3 linked regions of the Callithrix jacchus genome follow. The protein of the gene in region 2 purifies or fractionates together with the protein of the main gene of each other region. This does not show direct contact. Links are inferred from orthologs where the notes say so. Each region holds a gene or a part of one and is shown on either strand. Other genes may lie near its edges.

The links.
Region 1: the proteins of ATXN2 (region 2) and LSM12 purify together in Homo sapiens (affinity purification with mass spectrometry; 4 studies listed by BioGRID and IntAct, with this or other methods). This does not show direct contact. The link is inferred for Callithrix jacchus from reciprocal best matches to the Homo sapiens genes ATXN2 and LSM12.
Region 3: the proteins of ATXN2 (region 2) and PABPC4 purify together in Homo sapiens (affinity purification with mass spectrometry; 4 studies listed by BioGRID and IntAct, with this or other methods). This does not show direct contact. The link is inferred for Callithrix jacchus from reciprocal best matches to the Homo sapiens genes ATXN2 and PABPC4.

The regions. Positions count from the first base shown.
Region 1 is NC_133506.1:70,910,139-70,918,161, forward strand, and holds the start of LSM12 (protein LSM12), read right to left. Parts: upstream 4,461-8,023; 5' UTR 4,397-4,460; coding exon 4,273-4,396; intron 2,061-4,272; coding exon 1,927-2,060; intron 1-1,926. UniProt on the Homo sapiens protein: Nicotinic acid adenine dinucleotide phosphate (NAADP) binding protein. Confers NAADP sensitivity to the two pore channel complex (TPCs) by acting as TPC accessory protein necessary for NAADP-evoked Ca(2+) release.
Region 2 is NC_133510.1:114,458,452-114,466,478, forward strand, and holds the start of ATXN2 (ataxin-2), read right to left. Parts: upstream 4,882-8,027; 5' UTR 4,626-4,881; coding exon 4,396-4,625; intron 1-4,395. UniProt on the Homo sapiens protein: Involved in EGFR trafficking, acting as negative regulator of endocytic EGFR internalization at the plasma membrane.
Region 3 is NC_133508.1:76,105,015-76,112,584, forward strand, and holds part of PABPC4 (polyadenylate-binding protein 4), read right to left. Parts: coding exon of another isoform or gene 7,317-7,570; exon of another isoform or gene 7,250-7,316; 5' UTR 7,236-7,249; coding exon of another isoform or gene 7,141-7,235; 5' UTR 6,982-7,140; coding exon 6,789-6,981; intron 3,784-6,788; coding exon 3,590-3,783; intron 3,024-3,589; coding exon 2,908-3,023; intron 1,673-2,907; coding exon 1,533-1,672; intron 1,367-1,532; coding exon 1,272-1,366; intron 644-1,271; coding exon 506-643; intron 1-505. Other genes in the region: uncharacterized protein LOC144577192, read left to right, coding at 7,141-7,235, 7,317-7,570.

The sequences.
Region 1 (8,023 bases), on a different chromosome or scaffold from region 2:
GGCCTGGCATAATAGTTCACATCTGTAATACCAGCACTTTGAGAGGCCGAGGTGGACAGATCACTTGAGGTCAGGAGTTTGAGACCAGGCTGGCCAGCATGGTGAAACCTGGTCTCTACCAATAATACAAAAATTGTGCCAGGCACAGTGGCTCACACCTATAATCCTAGCACTTTGGGAGGCCAAGGCAGGCAGACTGCTTGAGCTCAGGAGTTCAAGACCAGCCTGGGCAACAAAGTGAAACCCGGTTTCTACTAAAATGCAAAAAAATTAGCCAGGTGTGGTTGCATACGCCTGTAGTCCCAGCTACTTGAGAGGCCTGAGGCAGGAGAACCACTTGAACCCGGGAGGTGGAGATTGCAGTGAGCCAAGACTGTGCCACTGCACTCCAGCCTGTACAACAAGAGTGAAACTCCATCTCAAAAAAAAATTGGCCAGGTGTGGTGGCGCACACCTGTAGTTCCAGCTACTCCAGAGGCTGAGGCATGAGAATCACTTGAATCCAGGAGGTGGAGCCTGCAATGAGCTGAGATCCCACCACTGCACTACGACCTGGGCAACAGAGACAGACTCTCTCAAAAATAAATAAAGGCTGGGCACAGTGGCTCACACCTGTAATCTCAGCACTTTGGGACACTGAGGTGGGCGGATCGCCTGAGGTAGGGAGTTCAAGAACAGTCTGACCAACATGGAGAAACCCCATCTCTACTAAAAATACAACAGTAGCCAGGTGTGGTGGCTCATGCCTGTAATCCCAGCTACTTGGAAGGCTGAGGCAGGAGAGTCGCTTGAATCCGGGAGATGGAGGTTGTGGTGAGCTGAGACTATGCCACTGCACTCCAACCTGAGCAACAAGAGCAAGACTCTATCTAAAAAAAAAAAAAACTTGGGCAGGTATGGTGGTGCACGCCTGTAATCCCAGCTACTCAGAAGGCTGAGGCAAGAGGATCACTTGAGCCCAGGCATTCAAGTTCAACCTGGACTACAAAGCAAGGCCCTGTTCACACATACACAAAAGTGACTTGGGGATTCCCAGAGATCAATTTGTATGTGCAAGATTAAAATATGAAAGGCCGGGCGCAGTAGCTCAAGCTTGTAATCCCAGCACTTTGGGAGGCCGAGGCGGGTAGATCACGAGGTCAAGAGATCGAGACCATCCTGGTCAACATGGTGAAACCCTGTCTCTATTAAAAATACAAAAAATTAGCTGGGCATGGTGGCGTGTGCCTGTAATCCCAGCTACTCGGGAGGCTGAGGCAGGAGAATTGCCTGAACCCAGGAGGCGGAGGTTGCAGTGAGCCGAGATCGCGCCATTACACTCCAGCCTGGGTAACAAGAGCGAAACTCCGTCTCAAAAAAAAAAAAAAAAAAATATGCTAAGCATGTAATTGTTAGAACTCAAAATTCAAACATAAAGAGAAAAAAGAACCTTTAAAACAGTGGCTTTCAAACTTTTATAGGTCATGAATCCCTCTGAGAATCTAAAAAACATTTCGGATCTTCATACAGAAAACGCATATATTCACGTATGCACACATCCACATACACACAATTTGAGGACGTTCATAGGCAACGCCACCACCCAAACCCCACCATCACCAGAATTTCATCACGTACTCCAAGATTAAAACTTCAAGTTAAAAAAAAAAAGTCCTCTTTTATAAAGGCAAAAACAAGTTCTCAACTTCTTTGAAAGTTAAGCTTATTTCTTTTTTTTTTTTTGAGTTAAGCTTATTTTTTAAGATCTACTGACAATATCCATGAATAAAGAGAAAAACTAAACATGTATTTCTTAAAAAGATATCAGAGGAAGCAATTTTAAGTCAATTAAAAAAATGAAAAATAGACAACAATGTATCACCAAGAATCAATGAGACTCATCTTTCCCATGATTTTAGAGAGCCAGATTTGCCCTTGAGTCCTTACCTTACTAACATTGAGTGAAGCTAGGGGAGGAGGGGTTTCTGTTCGGTCATTAATTATTTCCACTTCTGAAACATACTGTAAGTTTATAAGCAAGATATCTGCATGGTTGGGCTTTCCACTGGAAGAGGGACATTCTGGTAAGAAAAAACAAGTTAAGGAAAAATAGGACAAGCAGAGGCACTGACACATCCCAAAAGGGATACAGAAAACACAATTCACACAAGGCTTTAAAAGGCATGCCAGAAGCAAGAGGGCCTTATAAGAATCACAGCTCTCCTCAGGAAATCCCTGCCTGTCACCTTCCTCCTGCCCAAACCCTTGGAAGCCTCCTAAGGAATTCTGTCATCTTCTGTCTACTGGTTTTATGGAGCAGATTTAATGCGTTTGTTTTGAACCTAGGAACCAGACAAAAGAGCTAGAGATTTCTGTTCTTCGTATAACACTCTCTATATCTGCACAGTATTTTTACTTTTTCAGATGTGAGCGTTCCCATTTTGCAGAGGAGAAATCTACAGCACTGGAAAGGAAATTCCCCTAAGGTGACCCAGCCAGTTAATCCCATCCATTCATTCACACACTCATTCCCTAACCATTTAAGCGCCCACTGCATGTCAGTTAAAAACTGAGTAATTCCTAGTTCCAAGACTCTTCCAACTAAACTACTAATGTAAAAGGTCTTATTTGTTCCAGGTGTAACCTCTTATTTTTTAAAAAAGCAACTATTCTTGCTGTAATTAGTTTCAAAGGACATCTTCCCAAGCTAGAAATCTACAAGCAATGGTTAAATGAATTAAAATACTTGCCACTCAAAGGCAGCAGACTCAGTAGGAAACTTCATTTTGAAAGATGCAATGGCAGGGCGCAGTGGCTCACGGCTGTCATCCCAGCTACTCAGGAGGCTGAGGCAAGAGAATCGCTTGAACCCGGGAGGCAGAAGTTGCGGTGAGCCAAGATGGCGCCATTGCACTCCAGCCTGAGCAACAAGAGCAAAACTTTGTCCAGCCCCACCCCCCCACACACACACACACAAAGGGTCGGGAGCGGTGGTTCACACCTGTAATCCCAGCACTTTGGGAGGCCGAGGCAGGCGGATCACGAGGTCAGGAGATAGAGACCATCCTGGCCAACATGGTGAAACTCCGTCTCTACTGAAAAGAAAAAATACAAAAATTAGCTGGGCATGGTGGTTCGTGCCAGTAATCCCAGCTACTCAGGAGGCTGAGGCAGGAGAATCTCTTGAACCAGGGAGTCGGAGGTTGCAGTGGGCCTCGATGGCACCACTGCACTCCAACCTGGTGACAGAGCAAGACTCCGTCTCAAAAAAAAAAAAAAAAAAAGCCATAATGAATTACTCCTCAAAAAAAAAAAAAAATTGCAATAAACCCACCTGTAGCTCACATAAAAGGGGAAGCCGTGGCACATTTATTCCAACAAGGAAGTGTTTCGTTTCCAAAACTGAGTTTCCTGCAATAATTCAGAAATCATTTCCACCCCAAAGAAGCAGGCCACCCTTTCCAATCAGTTTAACATTGCTACTTTCAAAAGGGAGGCTACTACTACGTAAAAGTAAGGACTCCATGTGCTGGACTGAGCAAGGGAGCATGAGAACTTCACTCTTTTACCTGTAATTCGCACATCCCCAACCCACATAAGCCCCTGAAAAACGTGGCAAGCCCTCTCTGGACCAGGTTTCCAATGCAAACATCCCCTTAACAGCAATTTCCAAATGACCGAGAAGCCTAAAAATCAGCACAGCCCCCCCTACACCCACTCATCAGCGAAACAAACCACGATCCTCAGTTCAGATACAAACTCTGCCCTGCGCTTACTCTCCCCCAAAACAGGCAAGGACCATTTGGTCACCATCCCACTGCCTTTCTTGGACAAAATCCCATCAGTGGACATGCCCTCCTAAATTCCATACCTTTGCCCTACCAGCAGTTCCTTACCCTACACACCCCTCCCCATAACATTTTACCCGCCCCTCCTTTCCATCCGGGCTCCAATCCACCAGCCCCCTCCCACTACAACCCACTCCTAATCACCGTGTCCCCCCTAATAACGTTCCCCGCTAAAAGCCATCCCCGTGTCATGCTCTCCTCCACTCCCTGATCGTTGGTCAGGCCCCAGCTCCCGCAAGGGGTGAGAGACAGGGTCCCCAAAGCTGACCGAAGGGCCCGCGGGAGGGGGAGGGGAGCTCAAGGCCGTGCGCATGCGCCCCGGGCGCCGCGGTAGCCGGTCGCCCCTAGGCCGGGAGAGAGCCCCGGCCGCCGCCGTCGTCCCCCACCCGCCGACCACCGCACCTACACGCCGGCCCGGCCTCGGGCTCCACGCAGGGAAGGATACTTAAAGCCAGCATTTTGGACTGGTAGTCGAAGGCTACCACCTCGCCCTGCAGCCGCTGCTCCTGGCATGTCCGGCACGACACCTGGCTCCCAACGCTGAAGTACTCGCCCGGAGGAGCCGCCATCTTGCGAGTGCAGCCGCGGCCGGCGGCGGCGGCGGCAGCAGCGGGCGAAAGCCGGGCCCCCAGTAAGCGACGCGACGCAACGCACGGAACGTGCTTCCGTCACACGCCGGGGCGTGGCCTGGTGCTGGGTGGGGCGGGAGCCTAGGTGCACTAGGAAAGAAGAGGAAATAAAGGGGAATCTGAAAAATAATATTTGTATAGCTGCGTCCGCTCGGTTAAGTGCCTGTAGAGTCTATTTTAGAAGTTAAGGATAAATGACCTACATGGAATGAAAAGGGGAAAGAGGAAGGAACTGCAGTCTCCATTATATGCACTCCTTGAACACAAGAGTTCAATGAATGAATTTTATTAAATAATTTATATTATCCCCATTTTGCATATGAGGAATCAGAGCCTCAGAGGACTTAACGAAACTTGGTCAACATGATTATAACGGCCGGGCGCGGTGGCTCACGCCTGTAATCCCAGCACTTTGGGAGGCCAAGGGGAGGTGTAGATCATCAGCGGTCAGGAGTTCAAGACCAGACTGGCCAACATGGCAAAAGCCCGTCTCTACTAAAAATACAAAAATTAGCTAGGCGTGGTGGCGCGTGCCTGTAATCCCAGCTACGCGGAGTACTGAGGCAGGCAGATTGCTTGAACCTGGGAGGTGGAGGTTGCAGTGAGCCAAGATAGTTCCTCTGCCACTCCAGCCTAGGAAACAGAGCGAGTCTCCGTCTCAAAAAAAAAAAAAAAAAGATTATAACTACAGAGTGAGTGGAAAGAACATTGGCTGTGGAGTTAGATAAGCCGGAATCAGAATTTCAGGTCAGCTTACTAAATTACATGACCTTGAGCAAGCAAATTACCTGATCCTGTTTCTTCATAGGCATTTATATTGTCACTTCTTGAGCACCTATGTAACAGCCCTTTGAGGTAGGAATCAATGTCCTCCTTTTACAGAAACTAAGTTTTAGACTAAACTTGTCCACGCTTGCACAACTAGCAAAAACAGTCTGCCTATTTCCAAGGATGGTGCTATTTACTGCTATACTATATTGGATAATAATACCTACCTCAAAGTTAGAAGGTTTAAATGTGATAACATGTATATGTGCATGGCATATACTAGCTCTTTAATAAATAGTAGTTCTCCCTTTGTCATCCATCATTCTATGAAATCAAGACACTTCCCCTTCTCCCTTTTTGCCATCTCTCCCAGAAAGCCAGGCAAAAGGCAGGAATGAGGAGGAGCAAACAGTGACAAAAAGGGGCTTGGAGGAGGGGTTTTGCACCCCTGCCCTTTAATGTCCATCTGATACACAAAACAGTCATTTTCGGCCGGGCGTAGTGGCTCACGCCTGTAATTCAAGCACTTTGGAGGCCAAGGCGGGCGGATCACCTGAGGTCAGGAATTCAAGACCAGCCTGACCAACATAGTGAAACCCTGTCTTTAAAAAAAAAAAAAAAAAAACGGACGGGCACGGTGGCTCACGCTGGTAATCCCAGCATTTTGGGAGGCCTAGGCGGGTGGGTCACGAGGTCAAGAGATGGAGACCATCCTGGTCAACATGGGGAAATCCCGTCTCTACTAAAAATACAAAAAATTAGCTGAGCGCGGTAAGGCGTGCCTGTAATCCCAGCTACTCAGGAAGCTGAGGCAGGAAAATTGCCTGAACCCAGGAGGCGGAGGTTGCGGTGAGCCAAGATTACGCCATTGCACTCCAGCCTGGATAACAAGAGCAAAACCTGGTCTTAAAAAAAAAAAAAAAAAACAGTCATTTTCTTAATCTATGTAAAGGACTATGCCAATGCATTTTCAAGCCCTGCTACGGCCAATTGCTGTAGGTAATTGGTAACCCACCCACCCCTCACTGTAGAAATTTTGGAGCCTTGCTTCCTGTATGAGAAACAGGTTGACCTTTTTCTAGTCCAGAGGGAGGCAAAGGACCAGTCTTGGCGCAGCTTAACCTGAATAAAGTTCAAAAGTATTTCCTTGCCCTCCAAGAAACATAAACTTCCTGGTATTGGAGGTATGGGTACAATTATTGTAACAGGAATAAAAATTCTACTCTGGGCGGGGCGTAGTGGCTCACGCCTGTAATCCAAGCATTTTGGAGGCCAAGTCGGGTGGATCACCTGAGGTCGGGAGTTCAAGACCAGCCGGACCAACATGGTGAAACCCCGCCTTAAAAAAAAAAAATTCTACTCCTTTATATTGTGCTTTTTCAGAAAACTTTTTTTTTTTTTTTTTTTTTTTTTTTGAGACAGTGTCTCACCCTCTTACCCAGGCTGGACTGCAGTGGCACCATCTTGGATCACTGCAACCTGTACCTCCCAGGTTCAAGTGATTCTCCTGCCTCAGCCTCCTGAGTAGCTGAGATTACAGGCGTGAGCCACCATGCCTGGCTAATTTTTGTACTTTTAGTAGAGATGGGGTTTCACCCTGTTGGCCAGGTTGGTCTTGAATTCCTGGGCTCAAGCAATCTCCCGCCTCAGCCGGCCTGTCAAGTGCTAGGAATACAGGCATGAGCCATTGTGGCCAGCCTCGGAAAACTTTCATGCCTCTCATTCTTGTTCTGGCCTCCATAACAAATCATACATAATCACCATTCCAGTTTTTGTATGAAATTGTGATTATATAGCACAATCATTGTCCACTTTTTTTATGAAATCGTGATTATATAGCACTGAAATCTCCTCTGACATGATAAAAAAAATCGTGATTACAGGTTTTCATATATGACTTATAGACGCCACTAGGAAGTGAAAAATCTCTGCTGAGACCTGAAGAATTAGCAAGGAAAAAGGGTGGCCATGTTCCAGGCAGAGGGAACTGCATGGGTCAGGACCCCTAGGAGGAGAGAACTTGGCGAACTCAAGGAATGTATAGCTCAGAAATATTTTAAAGTGGAGTGTGGGAATAGGCTGGTGAAGTTTGAGGCTAGATCCAGGGCAAACTTTTAAAGCTTCAGTAAGAAATGTAGACTTTCTCCTTGGGCAATTAATTAAAAAACATCCAGCAAGGCAGTGAACTAAGATTTATACCCAGCTTCCCTCCCCTACACATTTTTTTTTTTTGAGACGGAGTTTCACTCTTGTTGCCCAGGCTAGAGTGCAATGGTGAGATCTCAGCTCACAGCAACCTCCGCCTCCCAGGTTCAAACAATTCTCCTGCCTCAGCCTCCTCAGTAGCTGGGATTATAGGCATGTGCCACCACATCTGGCTAATTTTGTATTTTTAGTGGAGAAAGAGTTTCTCCATATTGGTCAGAGTGATCTCGAACTCCTGACCTTTGGGAGGCCTGCCTTAGCCTCCCAAAGTGCTAGGATTACAGGCGTCCTCCACTTTTTCAATTAGTGATAGTAATATCTTTCAGAGAAGAACACAGATTTACATTCTAATTTTAATCTACCTATTAGAAAACTTTTTTTTAGACGGAGTTTCGCTGTTGTTACCCAGACTGGAGTGCAATGGCACGATCTCGGCTCACCGCAACCTCCACCTTCTGGGTTCGAGCAATTCTCCTGCCTCAGCTTCCTGAGTAGCTGGGACTACAGGCGTGCACCACCATGCCAGCTAATTTTTGTATTTTTAGTAGAGACAGGGTTTCGCCTCGTTGACCAGGATGGTCTCGATCTCTTGAT
Region 2 (8,027 bases):
AAATGACGAAGGAAATGTAGAAGAAAAGACGAGTTAAACAGTGAAAATTCCCAACAATGCTATAAAATTACATAAAAGTTACCAAAAATAACTTGGTCATAGGCTAGAAGCTAATAAAAAACACTTTCAGATGAAAAAGGGAGGTTGACCACAATAACAAAACTTTAGAACAGTTCTTCAAGAATTTCATTCCTGCATTTTACTCATTACTGTCAGCAGGATACAGCAAGTATCCTCTTTAATAATAGTGGTTACAGGTTTCAAAATGTCTTCACATATATTACCTTATTAAATCCTCAGAAAAACCAAATTAAACTCAAATATAAATAATCTGGTAACTAACAAAAGCACTTAATAATGTATGCGCTTGACAGTAAAAATGCAACTTTTCCTTTGAAAATTCCCCACGATATTTGACAAACTACAAAGAGACCATTTTATGGAAGAGCAACCTTCTTGGCACTGGAAGTAATATAAGTCTTCTGAAGAATAATAGAGTACAGCTAGCAAGAGCCATAAAAATCCTGAAACCCTTTGACCTAGTAAAACCATTCTTGGGAGCTTTCTCTAAGGAAATAATTACACTGAAGCAAAATCCTATTAGTATAAAAATGTTGGCCAGGCTTGGTAGCTCACGCCTGGCCCACGAATCACAAGGTCAAGAGATGGAGACCATCCTGGCCAACACGGTGAAACTCCATCTCTTCTAAAAATACAAAAATTAGCTGGGCGTGGGGGCGTGCGCCTGTAGTCCTCCCTACTCGGGAGGCTGAGGCGGAAGAATCACTTGAACCTGGGAGGTGGAGACTGCACTGAGCCAAGATCGTGCCACTGCACTCCAGCCTGAAGTCAGAGTGAGATCGCAACTCAAAAAAAAAAAAAAAAAAGTTCATTGCATCACTATCTATAATAACAAAAAAGTGTAAACCCAAATCACAACAATAGAATGGTTAGGTAAAAACCCTAAATTTTTTTTTAATACTGGCCAGGCCAAGTGGTTCATGCTTATAATCCCAGCACTTTGGAAGGCCCAGGCAGGTGGATCATCTGAGGTCAGGAGTTCGAGACCAGCCTGGCCAACATGGTGAAACCCTGTCTCTACTAAAAATACAAAAATTAGCTAGGTGTGGTGGCACATTCCTGTAATCCCAGCTACTCAGGAGGCTGATGGGGAGAATCCCTTGAACCGGGGAGACAGAGGTTGTAATGAGCTGAGATCATACCACTGTACTCCAGACTGGGCAACAGAGTGAGACTCTGACTCAAAAAAAAAAAAAAAAGTATAATATAACGTTCAGGGAAAAAGGCTAACTACAAAATAACATACATACTACTACTACTATTACTACTACTACTATATAACAATGAAAAGGTTAAAAAGCAAAAGTAAGAATTAGACTGATGGTCGGACACAGTGGCTCACACCTATAATCCTGGCACTTTGGGAGGCTGAGGCTGGGGGACCACTTGAGGCCTGGCCAGCCTGGCTAACATGGTGCAACCCCGTCCCTACTAAAAATACAAAAATTGGCCAAGGGCCAAAGCTCATGCCTGTAATCCCAGCACTTTGGGAGGTCAAGGCAGGCGGATCACTTGAAGTCAGGAGTTGGAGACTAGTCAGGCCAACATGGCAAAACCCCATCCTCACTAAAAATACAAAAAAATTGGCTGGATGTGGTAGCAGGCACCTGTAATCCCAGGTACTTGGGAGGCTGAGACAGGAGTATCTCTTGAACCCAGGAGGCAGAGACTGCAGTGAGCTGAGATCAGGCCTGTACTTCAGCCTGGGTGACAGAGTAAGACTCCGTCTCAAAAAAAAAAAAAGAATTAGATCCAAGTAAAAATATGTTCTAATATTGTGACTACATTGTCTTCCCCAAAACAGTCACCTTCAAAAATGTGTACAACAATTAAAGACAGAATAAATCCCTTCTGAAAGTCATGAAAAGCTATTCACACACACATACAAAAAAAAAAAAAACAGAAGTCAAAATATGTTTCTTAAAGCAGATGTATTTCCAGACTTTCAAGAATATTTTGCTATCTCAAAACTTGTCAAACCCAACGCTGCATTTTCTTATTTCACCCTTGCTCTCAGAAACTTATTTTCATTGCTGATACACAAACCAAAGTGAGGCGATTCCAGAAGTTGAAACTTATTTACAAGGAAAGCAGTAAAGTGATTCAAAATTCAAAGTAATTCTACAAGTACATTAACAATCTGCACAAGAATAAATTTCACATTATACAAATCCAACACAGTAAATAAAATTTCACCTATTCATCAAAAAGAATAAAGGCTACCATTTAGGTCTCGAGTAAAAGAATGTAAAGCAAGGAAAAAAATCTAAATTAATCTTAAATTGTTGTAAAGCCTCAAGGAACAGAAAAAGGCCTTGTGGAACTAAAACATTCCAAGTATCTCTCATCACTCAAGCTATTCTGAAGCAAATTCTGCTATAATCTAATTTTTAAGCCTAAGAGTCAATGCAATTTAAAATCCTTAGTTTTAATTTGTATGTATTTGAACAAGTTGAAAATATCTGCCAAATCTCCTTCTAATACCTAAGAAAATAAAAACAATGCATCATTTTCTATAAAAATTGTACTTAAAATTTTTTCATTCCTCACTAGATGCCAACAAAAAAGGGAAAGTGAAGTTACTCTATGAGGGGAAATGATCACTTCACCTGAACTAGTTTGGCTAAGTAGTGGCTGGGATGCTTCAGACTCAGAGAAGTTGGGGGGGGGGGCGGGGCGGGGACGGGACGAGGCTTGTAAGTCAAATAACCGAAGACTATTTCAGCCCCTGGCCCCATTGAAGGCAAGAGAATTCCTTAAAAACCAGCTGATACCTCTTGATGGGGAACTTAAGCTGTAAATAAAAATTATTTAGAAATGGATTGCTGAAAATGTGTGTTCAAAAAGAAAACTCAGGTGCGTGAAAAATCCTCTTATCCCACCTTCCAAAACCCAAGATGTCTAAGGAGGACGCCAGTCATTGGCCCTGCCAAGCCGGCGGCCTAGGCCTAAGGGAGGCACAGTAGCGCCTGCAACACGGATAGACTTGGGGCACAGGGGAAATGGACTTGCGTGCCCTTGGTAAGCTCTGGCGGCACTCCCGAAGTTAAGGACACCGGCCACAATGGAATGGAGTCTATTGACATTTGCTTCTCCGTTTGAACACTAAGCATTTTCTTAGTTCGTGAAATACGAACTGACAATCACCACCCCCCGCCACCCTCAATAGGACCTCCTGCACGAACACACTCTCCAGAGTCAAAACCAGTTAGCCAGGACAACACTGATCCCTCGCCCCGTCTCTATCACAACCCCGGCTTAGGTGGGAAAAAGACACCAATAAACATTTCTGCGTTCAGAAACCACACCACGTCCCCTTCTGCAATCTCTCTCTCCTAGCATTTCCGAAATTGGGGCGGGGATTGGGAAAAGTGCGCAGGGCACCCGCTCCCTGCCACCAGCACCGCCGCCCCGGATCTCCCGGATCCAGCCTGGGTCCGGCCCTCGCCCACCACTGTTCACAGGCGCCTTCTCCACCGCAGCCTCGGAACAGCAATGCGGATCGGCCACCACCCGCGCGCCGGACAGGCCAGGCGGGGGAAGAATGGAGGCCGGGCACTCCCCACCCCTTCCCTTCCTTAGGAGGGGTAAGGCGGAACGCTGCAGGAGGCTGCACGGAGCCCCAAGATTCCACGGGAGTTCGGGAGCCCCCGCCGCAGCCTCGGAATCAAACGGGGAGGGGTGCGGGGGCCAAGGCCCACCTGTCTCCACCCAGTCTTCCGATCTTTCCCAGGACTGGGAGGGGGCGGGGAGAGGAGCCCCGATAGACCCTGATGATTCCGGAGGAGCCCAGTGCCTACCCCTTTAACGCGCACGGGGGACGCGGCCCTAACTTCTCCCCTTCTGAGATGTCCCCCACGATGGGGGAACGACATGTTCCGGAAAACGACACCAAAGCCTCCAGACCCCTCCAACGTTCACACCTAAACTGGGGGTGGGACGCTGCCCAAGCATACCCCTGCTGCGGGAGGAGGGGGCGTGCGAAAGGGGGAGCCAGGGGTGACCACAGCCGCGACCCGAGAACTCCTCCCAACACGCGTGGGGAGGGGAGGCCGCTGGCTCCCTCCATCTTGACCGCTGGGGGAGGGGGCGGGGATGCTGCGGGAGGCTGGACAGGCCTGACAATCCCAGAAGACCCCCGCGGCGCCCCCCAGCCGAGCCTCGGGACTCTGGCCCGGGCGAGTCCCCCACACGCCGCCAGCCCCCAGCCCACCTCGGGCAGCCCTGCCGGTCATGGGGCGGGGACCGCCGCGCGAGCCGCGGGGGAAGGGACACCGGGCCCAGAGCAGAGGGGGCTGGGGTGCCGACACCCACCTGCCCAGGCCGGGCCTCCCGCTGCCAGCGGTCGCCACGGCCGCCGAGGAAGAGGGAGCCGTGGCCGAGGACGAGGAGACAGAGGACGAGGACGGCGAAGGCACGACGGCGGGCGACGCGAGAAGGCCGCTGCCGCCGGGCTTGCGGACATTGGCGGCCGCAGGCGGCTGCGGCTGCTGCTGCTGCTGCTGCTGCTGCTGTTGCTGCTGCTGCTGGGGCTTCAGCGACATGGTGAGGGGCCCATACACCGGCTCGCACGCCGGGCGGGGACAGTCGGGAGCCGGGCGCGCCGAGGAGTCGCCGGAGCGCAGCGGGGACGCGAGAGTGCCGAGCGGGGAGGCGCGGGTTGGCGCGGCCGGGGGGGCGCCCGGGCTGACGAGGGGGAAAAGGAGGACGAAGAAGGGGCGGGGAGGCCCGCCGAGACCGAGGAACCGCCGGAAGCCGGACCGGGATGCGCCGCCGTTGCCGTTGCTACCAAAACAGTCTGAGGCGGAGAGAGGCGAGCGCTGCGGGGAGGGAGGGGGGCCAGGGCCGGGCGGGGGAGGGGCGGCGGAGGGATACGGGCCCGGTACCTCGCCACCGCCGCCCCGCCCGCTTCGCCGTGCCGGCCGCGGGAGCGAGCGCCCCCCGGGCCACCTAGCTGCGGCGAAACGGCGAGGCTCGGTGGCTGCCGCGGAACTCTGAGGAGGTGCGGCCGCTGAGCGCATCGGAGGCTGAGTGCGCCGAGGCGCCGGGTGGGCACGGGGATGCCGGATTGGGACTCTTTACCGGAAGTCGGAGGAGTCGGGCGGAAGCAAATCGTTAGGCGGACCCGGGACCGGGAGGGACACGTGAAGAGCGGGCGCACCGCTGGTCCGCGTTAGCGGGGGTCGGGTGAGGGCCAGGCGGCAGGCCCTTCCCAGGTCCGCCCTCTCGAGGCGGGTCTGCCCTTCGGGGAGGGCGTGTCGGTCTTAGCCTCTGGGGCCTGCCTGGTGTGGAGAACGGCAGGGAAGCATTTTTTCCCCCAGTGTATTCCTTCAACGTCCTCACACTCCTGCAGGGACCTCGTTTGCCCCCACCTGATGCAACCCAGAAAATGAACTGCGAGTTCTTTGGAGTGGAGAATTTATCTTTCTACGTGTAAAGCACCTACAACCCTGCCAGATTCAGGGGGCACACCATCCCGCCGTTTTCCTGCCGGGCACACACTAGGCTCTCCAGTGCCTCTGGGAACCTTCCAGGCAGGCCGCGCTATGCTGTCCTGCTGAGGCTGGAGTGGAGAAACCCTCCGGGGCCACCCACATCTGGGTACCTTTTCCCCACTTTTTTCATCCCAGCCTCGAAAACTCTTCTAGGTATCTGACCTTCATCTGAACTTTTTCCTCATTCACGAGATTCTGAAGGAAATATACGGGACTGAGACTGGTAGAGCTGAGAATAAGCAGACCTCACAAGAACGTGCGAACTTTAGACCTTGTACCCTTTATAAGTTTTAATTTAACTTAGCCAGCCAGCAGAGTAGACCCTTTATAAAATGTGTTGCAAGTAAACTGGAAGCAAGTAGATAACTTTTTTTATCTTGAGCAGCCAATCTAGTGTTTTTGAGTGAAATGACTTCAGGAAATTAATAGAGGAAGAAACACCAAAATTCCCCTTCAATGTCCTAGAATTGTCCAGATAAAGACCTAGAAAAACATGGAGAATGATTAAACCAGCAGTTTTCAGTAGCCCAAATGAAATTAAACTCCTAGATAGTCCAGGCAAAAATGATCATTGTATTCTACCAATGTAGGAAATCAGTTTTATTTCCCATCTAAAGAGAGACTGTCGCAAAACTCTTTAACAATTAACCTAGCCTGGCCAACATGGTGAAAACCCATCTCTATTAAAAATACAAAAATTAGCCGGGGGTAGTGGGTGCCTGTAATCTTAGCTACTTCGGAGATTGAAGCGGGAGAATCGCTTGAACCCGGGAGGTAGAGGTTACGGTGAGCCGAGATTGTGCCGCTGCATTCCAGCCTGGGCGACAGATGGAGATGCCATCTCAAATAATATATATATATATATATATATATATTTTTTTTTTTTTTTTTTGAGACGGAGTTTCGCTCTTGTTACCCAGGCTGGAATGCAATGGCGCAATCTCGGCTCACCGCAACCTCCGCCTCCTGGGTTCAGGCAATTCTCCTGCCTCAGCCTCCTGAGTAGCTGGGATTACAGGCACGCGCCACCATGCCCAGCTAATTTTTTGTATTTTTAGTAGAGATGGGGTTTCACCGTGTTGACCAGGATGGTCTCGATCTCTCGTGATCCACCCGCCTCGGGCTCCCAAAGTGCTGGGATTACAGGCTTAAGCCACTGCGCCCGGCCAATAAAAATTAACCTAAGGAAATTGGTACTAAAAACCCAGTTGAGGAAACAAAACAAAAAAAAAAAATAGGATTTTTTTTTTTTTGAGATAGAGTCTTGCTCTGTCACCTAATCTAGAGTTCAGTGGCACAATTTCAGCTCACTGCAACCTTCGCCTCCAAGGTGCAAGCGATTGTTCTACCTCAGCCTCAGGAGTAGCTGGAATTACAGGCGTATGCCAATACACTCTGCTAATTTTTGTGTTTTTAGTAGAAATGGGGTTTCACCATGTTGGCCAGGCCGGTCTTGAACTCCTGACCTTGTGATCTACCAATCTCAGCCTCCCAAGGGCTGGGATTACAGGCATGAGCCACTGCGCCCCCAGCCTAAGGGCCTAAATAGAAATACATTCTCTTTTCTCTGTTAGGAATCCAAGTCCCAGAATACAATCTTAAGACCAACTTTCAGGCCACTGGAAAGAAAAATGGAAGTTGAATAAGAAGGCCTAGGCTGGGCACGGTGACCTACACCTGTAATCCCAGAACTTTGGGAAGCCAAGCGGGGCAGATCCTTTGAGCCAAGTAGTAGGAGGAGACAAGCCTGGGCAATATAGTGAGACCTCCCCCCATACAAAAAAAAAATTTTTTTTTTTTGAGATGGAGTTTCCCTCTTGTTACCCAGGCTGGAGTGCAATGGTGCGATCTCGGCTCACCGCAACCTCCACCTCCTGGGTTCAAGCAATTCTCCTGCCTCAGCCTCCCGAGTAGATAGGACTACAGGCATGCATCACCATGCCCAGCTAATTTTTGTATTTTTCTTAGTAGAGACGGGGTTTCACCATGTTGACCAGGATGGTCTCGATCTCTTGACCTTGTGATCCACCCACTTCGACCTCCCAAAGTGCTGGGATTATAGGCGTGAGCCACCGCGCCCAGCCAAAAAATTTATTTTTTGAGACAGAGTCTTGCTCTGCTGCCCAGGCTGGAGTGTGCAGTGGTGCCATCTTGGCTCACTGCAACCTCCGCCTCCCTGGTTCAAGCGATTCTCCTGCCTCAGCTGCCTCAGCCTCCCAAGTAGCTGAGACTACAGGCATGTGCCACCATGCCCAGCTAATTTTTAAAAGTTTTTAAAAATTAAAAATAAAAGAAGGCTTGAAGCAGATGTAGCTGAGAAAGGTTGTTTTGACCCCCTACCATTGAATAAAAACTTAACAATTTTATCAAGATATAATTTACATACTATGAAATCCACCTATTTTATGTACTTTTTTTTTTTTTTTTGACACAGATTCTTGCTCTGTCACC
Region 3 (7,570 bases), on a different chromosome or scaffold from region 2:
GCCAGACCCCAAACCCCGTGAATAGGAAACTCTGGGGCTAGAGCCCAGCTATCTGTTTTAACGAGCTCTGCTGATGATTTCTGATGCCAGCCCCAAGTTGTGAAACTGCTGCCCTGAAATTGACAGGATCATCAGTGCAGTCACCTTTTGTCACTTCTCCCCACAGCTGCTCGTGACCGCTTCACCCCAGCAGGGGTCTTCTTGAAGCCATGCCAAACAAAGGAGTCTCATTTAAGTAAAAGGAACCTACATGGCTAAAAGCAACAGGCTGAGGCTTCCAGAATAGAGAACTTCTTGATGAATAACCTCATTTCTCTTGTCTCTGGTTCTATAATAATCAGTCCCATTGTGGTAGGTATATATCCTTTTAAGCCTGATATTCTTGGGGGAAATGGAAGGAAGAACAGACTCCAAGTCCCAAAAAACAAAGCCTGCTAATCGTAAGGGTATTCTGCAAACATTTCACGGCAAATCCCATTGCTGGGCTGGGCCAAGACCACCTTACCTGGTATCGACTAATTCTTTCCTGTTTCAACTGCTCAAATTTCCGTTTTAACTCTGCCTGCCGTTCTACTTTCTTTTGTGCACGGCCTACAAATATGATTTTCCCACTTATTTCTTTTCCATTCATCTCTTCCACAGCCTAGAGAGGAAAAATATGTCTTTAAAATCAAGTTGCAGAGATGGGGCCTTATTCTAAAGGTCTAAGTCCCAACTTAGGACTGAAAACTAAATTCATTCCACCTGTCACACAAATCCAAACTTCCTCATCTGTAAAGTGAGGTTAATATTTAAATGGGTTATTGATCTAGATAATATAGAAATAGTACAGGTGTATAAACACAATTGTGGTGACATGAACCTAGGGTGATAATCTTCTGGCTACCAGTAAATTCTGCAGGTGCTTATGTAGGTATTGAAGTGATAAATGCTAAGGGTCTGGCACAATGCTTTGCCAGCAAGTAGCTGCTGTGCTGTTATCAAATCAGCACTCCCTGGGCTTTAGTTCTCTCACCTATGCAGGGAACAAACATCTGTCCTATTCTTTCCATAACTGATAGCTGAGGTGACAGGTATGTGCCAAGTGCTTTGTAAACACCTACACGATACGTTAACATGTGGAACCCAGGAAGATGATCCCAGAGTACAGTAATGATACATCTACAACTAGATACTCAGACCATCCCTGCTCCAGCTAGATGATAGCAAGACCCTACCCGTACTCTGAGGCCACCTCTTACAAGCTTTTCCAGCCTTTGTGGTGCACTCACCTTATTGGCATCCTCGTGTTTTTCGTAACTCACAAAGCCAAAGCCTTTGGATTTCCCGTTGGGATCTCTCATCACCTTGACACTCAGGGTCTTACCTATCACCAAAGGACAGAACTATTAGTAACACCATTTCTAGCATAGCTAGAGAGAAGGCTTCCCTCTAGAAACTCACTGGAAGCAAATCTCTGGAGCAGTGTCCTCATCTCTTAAGAACAGATGGGTCTGGTGAACTGTGAAAGGGGATGAGGACCCCCAACTTACCAAACTGAATGAATAGCTCTTTCAGACTCTCATCATCCACCTCTTCCCCGAAGTTTTTGATATAAACATTGGTGAATTCCTTGGCTTTGGCTCCAAGCTCGGCTTCCCGCTCTTTGCGAGACTTGAATCTGCCCACAAATCTAAAAGAAACCATGAAGAACAGCAATCATCCAAAGGAATAAAACATGATTTCCAGGGACCCAAAGGAATACAGGATAAAGGCTGAGAGGAGAGGTTAAAACACGAGATCCCCATCCACCACCGAGGAGGCTCAGAGACACCCCAAGTCCCCAGCAGAAAGAGAAAAAGGCAGGACTATCCTGTGAAGACCAGCCCCAGGGCTCCTGGCTTAGACCAGGGCTACTCCTACCACATCACACTGCCTTCATGAAGAAACCTGATGACCATGTTTTTAAAACGCTCATTTCTGTGCAACTATGTAAATGCATAGAAAAGGTCTGGAAGGATACAAACCAAACTGTTAACAGTGGTCAATCCTAGGCATGAGATTGTTGGAGCGAAGGGGCACCCTTTGCTTTTTAAATTTATTCATTTTGGTACTGTTATACTTAAAAAAAAAAAAAAAAAACTTATCCATACACTGACATTTTTTAATTTCTTTTTAGTGGTATCTGTAGATCAACCACTGGATAGACATTATAAATTTAACCTACCCTTTGGTATGTTCAATGAGACAAAGGACAAAAATCATTTTTGCTTCTAACAGCCAAGACTTACTGTCTCTTCTCCTCCCCACATGACTTTGCTAAGTTCCCCCTCTCTGCATTCTATAGTAACAACCACAACAAAGCAACAAGGTCTATTATGAAGTTTTTCTGCCAAGGGATAGGATTTTTCATTGTCACCAAGTACTACTGTGGAGCCAGCCTTCTACTAGGTCACTGATTCATAAGTTAGAAAATGGAGAACCACGGGGACAATTTGGCATCAACCACTAGCGGGGGACCCATGGACAGACCTGAGTCACAGGAAAGCCAAGGTCACACTGCTAGTATACAGCTCCTGGTCAGTCCAGGGCCCTCTCCACTCTGCCGCTGGCCAAGACCCCCACTCAGAGTGAGCTTAGAGCTGCCTTCCAGCCAGCCCCAGTTGCTGATGCTCACAAAACCCACAGACAGATGCCTTTAAGGGAGAGGCGGCAGGCAGGCCATGGCTTGGGCAGGAAGCCCACCTTGGCGAGTCAAAAGGGCTGCCACGGCTCAGGCAGGGAGACTCACCAGCCCTGGAGTGGAGAGGTAGGAGCAGGCCACACTTGGGCCGAGAACCAGTAGCCGCCTTGTGTGTGCCAGTTAATACCGAGGTGGGGCCACGGCTGGCTCATGCGATGGTTGTTGCTCCGGACTGGGACACTCACACTTTGCGGTCATTGAGGAGCATGCCATTCATCTTCTCGATGGCCTTGTCGGCAGCCTCTTGGGTCTCGAAGTGGACAAAGGCATAACCCTTCGAGCCGTTCTCATCACACACCACCTGTCAAAGACAAGGTGGACCACTTTAGCACCACTGGCCAGCTCCAGGGACATGAGAACCTCAGGGTATCTTGTACCTTACGCAAAACACAGTGCTGCAAGAAGACAAACCATTTTCCAAGTCCACAACAGATTTTCAGTGTAGTGTGGCATTAGACACATACACCACCACTGTGTAAGTTTTAAAGTGCTCAGCATAAAACTGATGTGTAGAAGGAAGAGAGTGAATGTATGCTTCTAAAGGGATTAAGTTTACTGAAGACCAGAGACACTTCTCTGATCTGCTCCTTTCCCCCAACCCAAAAGAAAAACCTTCTGGGGCTTTCCAAAGCTTAAAAACAGGAAGGCTATTTCAGGCTGAGGAAAGAACAGTGCACAAAAGCACGTGCTGGTTATGCTGGGTGTGCCCCTGAGATTATCCATGGGAACTTTTAGGGGTCTATTCCCAGCATTCTGAAAATCCCCATACCCTGATGCCCACTTCCCAGGTAGTTCTCCATTTGGTTATTTATCTTGTTTTCAAGATTCAATTAATTATTCTGCTAAAATCATTTAATCACTGTTTACCTTGCAGGATAGAATGTTTCCAAAAGCAGAAAAAGTATCATAAAGTGCCTTGTTATCTATAGATTTGTCCAGGTTCTTGATGAAGACGTTTCCCACACCAGATTTTCTCAAAGAGGGATCCCTCTGAGACCACATGATGCGGATTGGCTTTCCCTTAATCACATCAAAGTTCATGGTGTCCAAAGCCCGCTCAGCTGTAAGAGAGAAACACATTTCAATAGGGATGGAAAACGGCAGCTCCCACAGGCCAACATCCTAAGAACAGATTACTCCAGGACTTTTCAAGGTAATCACCCTTGATAAAAGGCAACTCTATTAAAATAAAAGGGCATCAGATTCCTCCAGCCTGCACTGTTACTAAGGGCAGAGTAAGTTCCAGTTAATGACTCTACTTCATGACAGAAGTCTGAACACCCCTCTGGGTCTGTGCCCTTGTTGGATAAAGGGGTCATAAGTGAAGACAATCTAAGTGGCCTTAATGACACCAAGATCCAATGATAATACCTCACATTTGACCAAGCTTTACCATTTAGAAGAGACTTTGCAGACTACCACCCACCATGACTCAGGTGGGACAGCTGAAATTACACATTTTACAAAATGAACAAACTTAAGTTTAGGTAACTAAGCTTTGCAGCTAGCTAGTGATTAGGAAACTAATACCAGATTATCAAAGTTATCAAGTCATTTAGTCTGCAATCCAGGAGCAAATGATCTGGAGAAAAAAAGTGCTATCCCTGAATTCAGTCCAGTTTCTTTTATTTCAATTTCTGAGAACAAAAATTAAACAAAAAAGCATCAATCATCAAAATGGATACAACTGGTCATACATGGAAAAGTTATCTGCACTATCACCACAAGGATTAAACCATGATATCTTCTGCCTAAGCAGACAGTGCGCAGGTAGTAGGCCCCACACCTACTCGTTTCCAGGCCTTCTGAAGCCTTAATTGGAGTTCTGTAGAATTCTAGGAGTTTGGCTACCCCACGTGCCCAACCTATTTCCCCATGCAGTGCCTTGGAATGCTTCCTCAGCTTCCCAACCAAGTCTACGTGTGCGCCACAGAGAACATTTAAAGAACCAAAAGCTAGGCCGGGCATGGAGGCTTATGCCTCTAATCCCAGCACTTTGGGAGGCAGGCAGATCACCTGAGGTCGAGTTCAAGACCATCCTGAACAACATGGAGGAAACCCGTCTCTAATAAAAATACAAAATTAGCTGGGCATGGTGGCGGGTGCTTGTAATCCCAGCTACTCAGGAGGCCGAAACAAGACAATCATTTGAGCCCAGGAGGTGGAGGTTGCAGTGAGTCCAGATCACACCATTGCACTCCAGCCTAGGCGACAAGAGTGAAACTCCATCTCAAAAAAGAAAGAAAAAAAAAAGAAACAAAAGCTAAAATATATCGCCACCTGCCAGCCAAAACACTTCTCATCCCTAATGGCAACAAGGATGCCCAGATCTGGTGGCCACTTTTCCTTAAGGCTATTATGGCATCTACTTAAAATGACATCACCCAGAACCTCCTCCATGAGGGGATTTAGACAGGCTCAGAGCAGGACAACCTGCTCCTTGCCTCAAGGCAGCATCTCACTTAAATCGGGGGACAAAATTCCCCAACTCTGGCGCTCTACAAGCTCAACTGTTGCATCAGCCAGAAGAATTTATTTTCACTCATTATTTCCAACAACTTTTCCCACCCACTTCAGAAGATTGGCTCATCTGTATGGGGGTAGTTGGGGAAAGGGGAGATGACAAGACAGAACAAAGTCACAAAACAGTTCAGGTACAGAGGAGCTTGCTTTTGATGGCTAAGAAGAGATACACAGCTGGGATCGCAAACTATTTCATTAATTAGCATTAAAGGAGCCCATTTCAACACAGCTCCTCATCTATTTCCAGACAGCACTGCACAAGGCAAGCCGGCTTAGTCTAACAAATCTGGCTGCACTTATTTATAGCAGAGAGAGGTCCTGCAGAAGTATGTGTTGGCAGACACACTGACCAATAGCTTCTGCTATCTCTAAGAAGTCAAGAAGGCAGACAACAGCTAATGAGGTATACTATCCCCCAAAATGACCACACTCAGCTACCTTCTTTGTGCTCCTATGGCCATAGACAGAACTCAGCTAGTCCCTCTCAACATGTCCAATTCTCTGGTCTCAGTTGCAACCTGAGCAAGTAAACTCTGGGCCTCAGACAGTGAACAAAGTGGGGACAAAACTTGGGGCCCGTCATAATCTCTGCAGTTGTTCCTTTTTAATCTGGAGTCACGTGCAGCCTCTGATCAGGTTTCCTCTGGCCTCACTCCTGCCACGCCTGTAGCATACCTCTCCATGCTCCTGCTAAGGCCACAATCTGGGGTGGCAGAGCACTGTGCTGGGAGTCCCAACTTGGCTTCCTTTTCCTTCTCAGGAGTTCCATTTTCCTCAGATCGGATGAAGTAAAAGGGCTCTGACAAGTGTAAAGGGCTGTTACAGCTAAGGTGACAAATGCCACCAGCCCAGATTTTCAAGTGACTCTTCCACAAACTACCTCCACACCATTCTCTACAGCAAAGCCTGGATACCATCTGTCCAGAGCAAAGCACTCCTCCACTCCAGTGGCAAACACACTGACCAAGGAACCGGCCTGGCACACGCAGCTCCTGTGACACTAACCCAAGTCTTTGCTAGAGTTTAACGCACAGAATCCTTCCCCCTGCTTCCTGCCTGCCCTGACCTATCCCTTATCAGCACATCAGGTGGTCAAGGTTAGTAAAGGTAGGGGAGTGGGCAGAATCTTTGCAATGTAAAAACTTTTGAGGGGAGCTGTGTTTTACACGTCCCGCCTTTTTGGCAGGCCTGTGAGAGGGCACAAGCAAGGGTCTCTAACAGCCCAGCCTCACTGACAAGGACCACACACAGTGGAATGCCAGTGACTTTCCTCTACTCCTGTTTTACAGTCTCCTTGAGTTCCAACCCCACCACCAGCAACACCAGCGAGTAGCCCAAGGTCACCCAGTTAGGAAGTGATATAAAGATTGAAACTCGAGTCATCTGATGCCAGGTCCGTGCTCTCAACCTCTGCACCCGGCTCCCACCTTCGGTGGCAACGTGCTGTTCTGAGGCCGCCCTCCTCGGCAGGAGGGCCCTGCCGGAAGGCGACTCCCGGGGTCCGCCGGGCTCCCACACACGTGTGGGCACAGTTTCTACTCACCATCGGCCGGCTGCTGGAAGTTGACGTAGGCATAGCCCAAGGAGCGGCGGGTGATCATATCGCGGCAGACCCGGATGGACAGCACAGGCCCCGCGGGGCTGAACTTTTCGTACAGCATGGCCTCGGTGACGTCCGAGTGCAGGTCGCCCACGTACAGGGAGGCCATGGGGTAGCTGCTAGCCGCAGCGTTCATCTCCCCGCCCCCCACCACCCCGAGCCCCGCCAGGAGGACTTCTTATCGGGCCCGCCGCAGGACAAAAGGGGAGCCCTCGGAGCCGGGGCCCGCGCCGCGGCTCACAGGTGGCACCGGCAAGGATGAGCTGGAGTCGCCGGGCTCGGAGACTGGACGAAAATGGGAGGCGGGGGTCGGCTCCCACGGCCGCGGCACCGCAGACAAAAGGCTCTCCGCACAATACAGCTCTCCCCGCGACTTTGCACTTCTCCGCGGTCCTGATGCGAAGCTCCAAATTTCAAAAAATCAAAGTAGGAAAAAAAATTAAATGGGGAATCCCCTTCCGAAGGGTAAAGATCCTTTAAGAGGCGACCGGACGCTGCCCACGGCGGCCTCGGGGACACGCGTTTCTCTATAAATATAGGCCTCGGGCTCCGGCGGTTTAAGATTACAACCGCCGGGGCACGGGGAAACCAAATCTTTGTGGGCGCCGACTCCGCGAGCCCTGGGCAGGCGGCGAAGGGCAGCGCGGACACGTGGTGCGCGGGACTGGCGCGGGGCTCCGGCGGGCGGAGGGGGCGGAGGGCGCGGCGGGCCGGGAGGGCGGCTC